Xenopus tropicalis: one gene and its partner. The main gene of each other region encodes a partner of the protein of the gene in region 2 in a complex. Links are inferred from orthologs where the notes say so. Each region holds a gene or a part of one and is shown on either strand. Other genes may lie near its edges.

Region 1 (4,244 bases), on a different chromosome or scaffold from region 2:
ATTTTTGACAAATCTGCTTGCACCTGATAGGCCTCTGATTACATGACTCATCACGGCGCGCAACTACATGAGATTGTGCTGCATGGGTATGAAATATGAAGCAGCGTGAGACACCCACTGCACTGGGGAGGGGGGGGGAAGCACAGCGAGCAGATCTAAACCACTTGGGGCTCATTTATAAATAAATTTACAAAAACCTGGAGAGTACGCTTATTTGCAGTGAAGCAGTGTAGTTTTAATGAGACATCTTTAAGCACTACATGTTTCGGCTAAACAGCCTTCCTCAGGTGCATTTATAAACACTGGGCACATATGCACTTGGGCTGTAACCCATAGCAACCAATCAGTGAACAGTTTTTTTCAGCCAGCTGCAAGTTGAACAATCTGATTGGTTGCTATGGGTTACTGCCCAGCTGTCAATTTGCCCAGTGTTTATAAATGACCCCACTTGTCTATATGGAGCCTTTGTTGAAGCAGTCATAGTTGGCTCCTATGAACTACAGATATTAAAGGGTAGCAGGATCTAAAAATTTTGCTTCACAGCCCTCCTCCTTTTGTTGTATTTTTTTTTCTACAGGTACAGGGGTCTGACCATGAGAAAGAGGCTGGTAAGTGCCACCTGTCCTGCAACTGATGGGGATTCCTGTAATCTCACCAACCTCCTTAGGAAATAAGGCCTAGGTGCCCACAGCACCACCCTTCTGAAAATAACAACTGGCTGGGGCAGCCAACAAGTTTACCTTCCAAATATTTTGGCCAGCATCTGTAGACTGCAGGGTGGAGCTTACTTAAACATATCCATTCTACCAATCAGAATGAGGATGGAATGTTGTAAATGCACAGATCCTGGTACTCATGTTTTTGTTTCTGTATAGCAGCTCTTGTCCCTGCACCTTAGTGCTCACAGTGTGTTGTTATTTACAGTGCAGCATAGCATCCTCCTATCATGATAAAATGTATATTCATTGCTACCATTCATGAATTTGATCCCAACCTAAGCACAGTCATTTAACCCTTGCTTTGTCACAAAGGCTGACACAGGGGAGATAGAAAGCTTGCATGTAATGTGAATGCACACAGCATCCTTAATGGAGGTGGATAATTAATAGGAAAGATGCTAGAAGTGACAGAGGGTTAAAACTATAATGCAGTAATACAAATATTAAAGTAAATAAACATGATAAACTGTAAAGGCGAGCATTTCAAAATATGGACTTCTCCTATAACAGATAACAGCACCCATTTTGGGATTTTCATGCTCCAAACCAATCTGAGACTAAAATATTCCAATTCAGAGAGAAAAAGATACAAACAATTGTAATATTAACTTTTAAATAAACTTTGATATCTCAGAACATGTGAATAACTGTACAAACATAACTTGCAATGAGTAGATTCCATACATAGTATATCAGTTAGATAACATTCAAAAGTCTGACCCCAGTCCTTTGTCTGTTTAATCACAAATAAGCAGTTACCACCCAGGTGTTGCAGAACTACAACCTTCCATTCCTCATACACATGAACTGGCAGGGAAAACACTGAAAAATATTAGCCTTCTTGCATACTGCCTTTTCAAAAGCATGGCAGAAAAGCACAATAAACAGACATGTACATGAGCAATAGCTGTGACTGAGTTCCCTTGGGACAAACATTTTCCTTGCCAAGTCCCATGATGAATACAACCAACACATAGAGCCATGCTATTGCATTTCAATGAATCCTTGTGACTTCTAAAGTTCAAGAGTCCTGATTAGAACTGCTTATTGGACTAGGTCATTTCATCGATGATAACACACATAGCTGCATCCTTATCAATTGTGGTCTCTTTCAGAGAAGCTGCTGCTGCCTCCTGGGGCCCCGCATGATGGTCCGTACAGGGTTCCCGAACATCCATTGGTTCAGTTTTTACACTGACTGCGCCATCAGAAAGAGGGAGGTCATTGGGTAGCGATGCCAGACAGTTCTGGATCATCTCCACCACTCGCTCTAGATGTTTCTGGAACCTCTCTGCCGTTTCCAGCCGCTGACGTTTCTGCACCTCCATCATCACCCGCAGGGTCTCACGTGCCTGGTGGGGCCTGTACTCATTAATAAGGTGGTGCATGTGAACAAATAACAACTTTAGGTCCTCCAGTTTCTCCTCCCTTCGGATGCTGCCTGGGCTTCGGATCAGGATGTCCAACATATCCAGAAAGTTGACCAGGATGGACATAAGGAGCTTCCTCAGCTCCTTCTTATGGTCGAACTGCATGGGGTGGAGCCTCTCGATGCCCTGAGTTTCCAGAGGGCGGATAATAAGGTCATCACACTGAAACTGGTTGCCAAACATCATGTAGCTGTCCTTTATGGGGAGGGGAGGCTTGGGGGCCAGGCCCTTGCGGATGTTTTCATCTGTGTACTCCTTAATGTACTGCATGGGAGGTATAGGCAAAGCGCTGACCTGCTGAGGCTCCCCCATTATGAAGTGAGTAGGAGAACCTGTGACACAGAAAGAAAAAGCCCATTCAGTTACATACAAATAACAATATAAATCCCTGTGTGTGCAGCACATATATATATATATATGCATTCCAATTGATGATGCGCACTCCTGTATTTTTTTAGTTCATTTATTGTTACATTATAAAGTTAAAAACATCAACGTTTCGGTCCAGGTCTAGGACCTTTATCAAGATGTTAAGCCATAAAAAGTCACACACATAATGAGTCTTTATATAATACAAAATGCCTAACCCCGCCCACATTGAGCATAGCCCCAACCCCATTTCACAACCCTTAAGCTGGCCATACACGTGGCGATCTGACGATGTTTCGTACGACCATCGGTCGCACGAAACATTGTCAGATCCGCCACACACCTTTCAAGGCTGAATCGGCAGGTAAGAAGGTAGAAACAATAGGATTTTTACCTCCTTCTGCCGATTCAGCTCTGAAGGGAGAATTTTGGTCAGGCGCCTTCTATGGCGCCCGATCAAAATTTTCAAACTGGTCCGATCGGCGAGTCGGCCGATATCAGCAGATTCCTGCGATATCGGTCGACTCGCCGACATGCCATACACGCACCGATTATCGTACGAAACGAGGTATCCTGTATAGCACATACTGACCTGCTCCTCAACTCCTCTCTCATTCCCTCCTCACACGCTCGCATTCAAGACTTTGCAAGGGCTGCCCCCCTTCTCTGGAATTCGCTCCCACAAACTGTCAGACTTTCTCCCAATCTCTCTGCCTTCAAGAGATCTCTAAAAACACACTTATTTAGAGAGGCTTACCCTAATCTAGTTTAGCAATACCCTGTGCCACACCTCTCACAACTCTGGCCATGCCCATTCCCACACCTTGTGTCTCAACCCTTTCTCCTTGTAGATTGTAAGCTCTTTTGGGCAGGGCTCTCTTCACCTCTTGTATTGGTTATTGATTGCTTTATATGTTACTCTGTATGTCCAATGTATGTAACCCACTTATTGTACAGCGCTGCGGAATATGTTGGCGCTTTATAAATAAATGTTAATGTAATAAAATACACAAATTGTGAATTAAAGAAAACATATCAGTACAATTAATAAACACTATTACAATTAATTAATTGTACTGATGTGTTTTCTTTAATTCACAATTTGGGGTTGGGGCTCTGCTCAATGTGGGCGGGGTTAGGCATTTTGTATTATATAAAGACTCATTATGTGTGTGACTTTTTATGGCTTAACATCTTGATAAAGGTCCTAGACCTGGTCCGAAACGTTGATGTTTTTAACTTTATAATGTAACAATAAATGAACTAAAAAAAATACAGGAGTGCGCATCATCAATTGTAATGAATACAAGCTACAACCAGGTGCAGCACCCTGCAATCAAGTATGGAGTAAGTGTGTTTAATGGGAGTGTGGACCGAAAGGTATTATATATATATATATATATATATATATATATGTATACTGCACACACAGGGACTTAATGCCAAGAAAAAAAGTGTTTATTGAAAAAAATCCAACTTTTTGAGCACAGTGTGTGCATTACCCTTTCTTTATATTCTATGTTTTACCTGCACCCAGGGCATCTGGTTTTGTGAAGGGTGTGCGCCTCTCTGTGTATATATATATTATTAATGACTATGACCCCCAGGCTTTGCCTATAGCAGGCAGGCATACACAACGTGTTGTATATACACATATAAGCTATACGGCTATATAGCAGACAGTATTGTCATTTACTTTACAGCCATACAGATGCCAGTATGGGGC
Region 2 (4,713 bases):
GAGCCTTATCATTGACCTCTCTGCCCCTCCTGTCGGCTCGCATCGCCAATCACAGTTACGCTTCTGCACAGAGCATTACTATAGCAACACCCTGAACAGAAGCGACTGAGGTCTGTACTAATCCTGCATAACTAATTGTTTACATTATCTACTGGGAGAGCGTGTGTGGGGTCACTAGGAGGTGCATGTGCAGTATGAAGCATAGACAGAGGGAAGTGACGTGGTCTCAAATAAATAAAATGGCGGCCACAAACTCTGGAAAGAAGCCGAACTTCTATGCATTGGTGCGATAATTATGTAATTATATTTAAAAAAATAAAACAGCGTTTCAGGAGGGGGCTTCTAAGGAACATTTTAGTGTAGTTGATTGAAAACTGCTTTCTTTCTTCTTTAAGTTCTCTGGCTTTGCTTTATGTACTACAAAAGGACACATTTTAGTCTGCTTTTACCTTTTTTATCCGTTCATTTAGCCCCATAGGGAAATGACCAAACTGTAGATTTTATATAGATAAAGATATATATATATATATATTTATATTTACATTTTGGTCCCATAGCAAATTGACCAAACTAAGGCCTGTGGCCTTGTTCTTTTATATCCTCATCCTTGACTGAAATAATAATTTGTAAGTAAAATAAAAATTAACAAATAAAATAGCAATGTTATAGTTTGGACTAGAAAGCAGAGTATGTAATAAAACTAATTAACGAAAGTGGCATTTCTGTGTCTACTTTTTGTAGGTATGATTGATACTCCAGGCGCTCAGGATAACAGCAGTCTACGTTCACTGATTGAAAAGCCACCGATCTGTGGAAACTCCTTCACTCCACTAACAGGTGCCTTGTTGACTGGATTCAGACTGCACACTGGACCAGTGAGTATAATGTTTTTTTTTTTTTTGGTGCTCAGGGAATAACAGACAAAAAGGGTGGGGGGAATAAAGCATTAGTTAGGTAACATAAACCAATTAATAAATATTTTTATGAATAGTTTATTTAGATAAAACTGGGTTTTACATATAGGCTGTTTTTATTCAACATATATTTATTTATTTTTTTATAGAGATGCACATTGTTCAGGTATATAGTTTTCTTTATACTTGCTTTGGCCAGGCAGTACCTACAAAGCTTTGGTATGATGCAAAATTTTTTAATCTAATATATAGTGATAATAGTTACTTCAACATTTTATATAATTATTGTGATAATAGTCTTTAACTTTTAGACACTTTTTGTGCAGAGTTCTTAAAATCTGACTACTTGCTAAACAGTCAGATATTAATTGTAGTAGAAAAGGTAGTTTCCAGTTAAGGAAAATGGCAGTGACCGTACATTTTGTTGCCTGTGCTACTGTGGGTGACAAAACTTCCCATCAGCAGTAATATGTAACACCAGTGGGGGGAAAACGTGTTGCTTACGCTTTCTAAAGTAGCCCAAAGTTGCCTCATGAGGTAAATTCAGGCTACTTTGCAACTCTGTACAGAATCATCATTTCAGTATACAATAGCAATACAAGCACTGTCTATTCTCATGTGGCCTTGCCAACATGGGTGGATTTCTTTTTTTAAAGGAACTGTAACACAATTTTTTTCCCTTCAAAATATCCTTTCTATACACTTTGATTATTAAATAAATCATATAGAAATTTCCATAGCAGTTGTGTTTTTTTACGTCTCTGATTTCCTCTCCATGCCCCATCTGCTAATAGCGAAAAATCACTCAAAATAGACTCTGAAGAATGCAGCATATTAACTTCCAGATTAAACCGAAAGTCTAGCAGTTACCGGATTGCCTTTTCAAGCTCTGCACAGTAAAGCATTGGTAATGTAATTTATTCTGAAATCACGTAGAATATTGCATTTTTTTAAATGCTACATATCTTAATAAAGTATTTAGAAGGGACATGTTAAAAGTTATTTTTTGTGTTACTGTTCCTTTAAAGAGATATTGACGCTTAAAATAAAACTGTCTTTTAAATAAATCATTACATTGTCTGTGAATCATCTTTATAATTTTGCCAAAACATAATTCCTGATGCTTTTACATTACCTATCTGATCCCCATGTTCCTCTATCAGGGGGCATTTGTGCAGCAGAAGTCCGTTAGCATTAGAAGCTATAACTGACAGGTTGAAAAGGAACAGTCAGGTTCAGGAACTTTAAGTAACACTTACTTACAAAAGGAGCCCTATCGGTGAAAAATGGTCAAAATGACCCATAGGCAACTTTTTATATACATTAATATTTTCAAAAGTAGTTTTTTCATGTCAGTATCACTTTGAGGTTTTGGGAGATTACGCCCCCTCTAAACCTGCCAGTCAATAATAATCAAAAGTGACAAAAAAAAATTCTGACCTCTTGCCTGTACCTGCTGTTCCTCAGCAGGAATATCTCTTCCAAGACATAAGAGGCCTGCTCACTAGATCTCCCTGACTGTACACAGAGAAACAGCTGCCAGGGTAACTGTACAGACAAGAACCAAGTATCCTCTACCTAGTGGGGCAATGCCAAAATGTGAAAAATATTTCACCTGACAAATACCCTCTCGATGACAGAAATGGCTATTTTTATGCAGCGCTGCTGGGGTTACCTGTCAGGTGAGACACCAGTGGGGGAGGGGGGGCACACCACAATGTTTTTGGGAAAAATGTGCCACAGTCACAGTTTCGTCACATGTAATAAGGGCAAGATGCACACTTCCCTCTCATTAAAGCACTTGTGTTTTAAAGGAGAAGGAAAGGTAAAAACTAAGTAAGCTTTTTCAGAAAGGTCTATGTAAATAAAGCCATAAGCACTCACAGAAAAGCTGCACTCTATCAAAAGAAACTGCGGATTTCTTGTCTCCTTTTTTGTAAACATGTTCTTGGGGTATCTGATTTCTTCTCAGAAAAATCCTTCATTCTAGGTGCCAGTGTCTGCGCAGTTCTCTCATTTCTCCCCTCTCCTCCTCCCCCCTTCCATAAGAATTCATAAAACTCACTCCTCCTACCCTGGATGCGTAGTGTGACGTTACATGAATTGTGTACTTTACGTTAAAACATATGCAACCATTGTATCAAGCAATGACAAGGCAGAGCAGTGTGAAGGGTTTAAAATTGGGGCAAACTCCCGTGACCCCCAATAAATTGTCTGACTTCACCTGGACCCCTGAGCAGTTACAGAGGGGTTCAGTGTAAACTGTTGTGATACTGCCGGGGTAATCCCTCTGTTTAGGGATGGTTTTTCCAGGCATGCATAAATGTCCTCTTTCACACCTCTTTAAAACCATCTGTCCTCTCTGTCCAAAATATGCACATCACCGTCCTCAAGAGTGTCCTTTTTCCTTGAGGTGTAAATAGACTGTTGAGTCTTGTCCTGAGGAGTTAGCCCTCCTATGTTGGGCCATTCTCTTACAGAGAGGTTGTTTTGTCTCCCCAGTGTATATGTCAGAGCACTCTTCACTGCACTGCACTGGACAGCATAGACCAGTATTCAGACTTAGGTCCAGTAAGGAACAAACGTGTTCTGGGTTCAGCTTTGTTCTGCTGCTGAGGGGGGGGTGTCTTGTTTCAGCCGTTTCCTCACTGTTTCAATTGCCTCGGTAGTGGGTATGCATGTGAACAGAGATGTAACATCAGAGGACACCATTGTTTCATTGATATCCAGATTTAACTCCTGGACTTTTTTGACAAAGTCCATGGAGCTCTGAATGTGGTGTACTATGTTTCCAACTAAGGGAGCTAAGATGTTAGCCTGAGGAACATTGCTAAATTTGTGGCCAACTCCTCAGGACAAGACTCGGCAGTCTATTTACACCTCAAGGAAAAAAAGACTTAATTCTGCTAAATACTGTACATACCGAAGTTGTTTTTAAACTATCAAAATGTATTCAAACATCTGTTAACCCTTTCACTGCCAGGGGTTTTGGACAAAGCGGAACTTGTACTGCCAGACAGTTTTTGAACATTTTGCACTGTTTCACTTTAGGGGCCTTTCCTCGGGGGGACTTTTAGTTTACCCAGGAAAACAATACATTGTTTTTTTCAGGACAACCTAAGCTTTCAAAATATGGTAGAGTTTTGGTGTAATTCCAATATGTATAGGTTTACCTAAGTATGTGGCATGTAGGGGCCCCAATGTGAACATACCCCCATATGATCTATCATTTCTGTCATTTCAGCTCCAGCAAAATCAACACATTTACATCATTATATGTGGGATAAAGCTAGTAAAAAGTACGCTCACCCCAGAAAGTCATATATTTTTGGAAAGTACACATTCCCCCGAATCTAAAATGGATACCCATGTTTTTCTACTCCAAAGTACCAAGCTGCAAAGCTTTTCTAAAGTTAGAAATTTTTTCCAAAAATCCCCTCAAAGCTTCCACTTTGCAGAACCTTATCTCCCGCATATCATTAGATACCAAGATAAAACACCCTAAATTTGAATGCCTGGGGTCCACTGAACAGTTTGATGCCCAATATGTATAGGTTTACCTAAGTATGTGGCATGTAGGGGCCCCAATGGGAACATACCCCCATATGATCTGTCATTTCAGCTCCTGCAACACAATTACATCCTTTATGTGGGATAATGCTACAAAAAAGTACACTCCCCCGAATCTATAATGGGTACACATTTCTTTTTACTCCAAAGTACCAAGCACAAAGCTTTTCCTGTTTCCTGCCGATTTTTATGACATTTCAGAAAATCGCCTAAAAATGTTGCAATTTGC

What was found.
Region 1: med19 (region 2) and med7 share a complex: the UniProt entries of both Homo sapiens proteins name them as parts of the mediator complex. The link is inferred for Xenopus tropicalis from reciprocal best matches to the Homo sapiens genes MED19 and MED7.

What each region holds. Positions count from the first base shown.
Region 1 is NC_030679.2:14,183,739-14,187,982, reverse strand, and holds med7 (mediator of RNA polymerase II transcription subunit 7), read right to left. Parts: upstream 2,493-4,244; 5' UTR 2,462-2,492; coding exon 1,772-2,461; 3' UTR 1,125-1,771; downstream 1-1,124. UniProt on the Homo sapiens protein: Component of the Mediator complex, a coactivator involved in the regulated transcription of nearly all RNA polymerase II-dependent genes.
Region 2 is NC_030683.2:55,877,798-55,882,510, forward strand, and holds part of med19 (mediator of RNA polymerase II transcription subunit 19), read left to right. Parts: intron 1-741; coding exon 742-875; intron 876-4,713. UniProt on the Homo sapiens protein: Component of the Mediator complex, a coactivator involved in the regulated transcription of nearly all RNA polymerase II-dependent genes.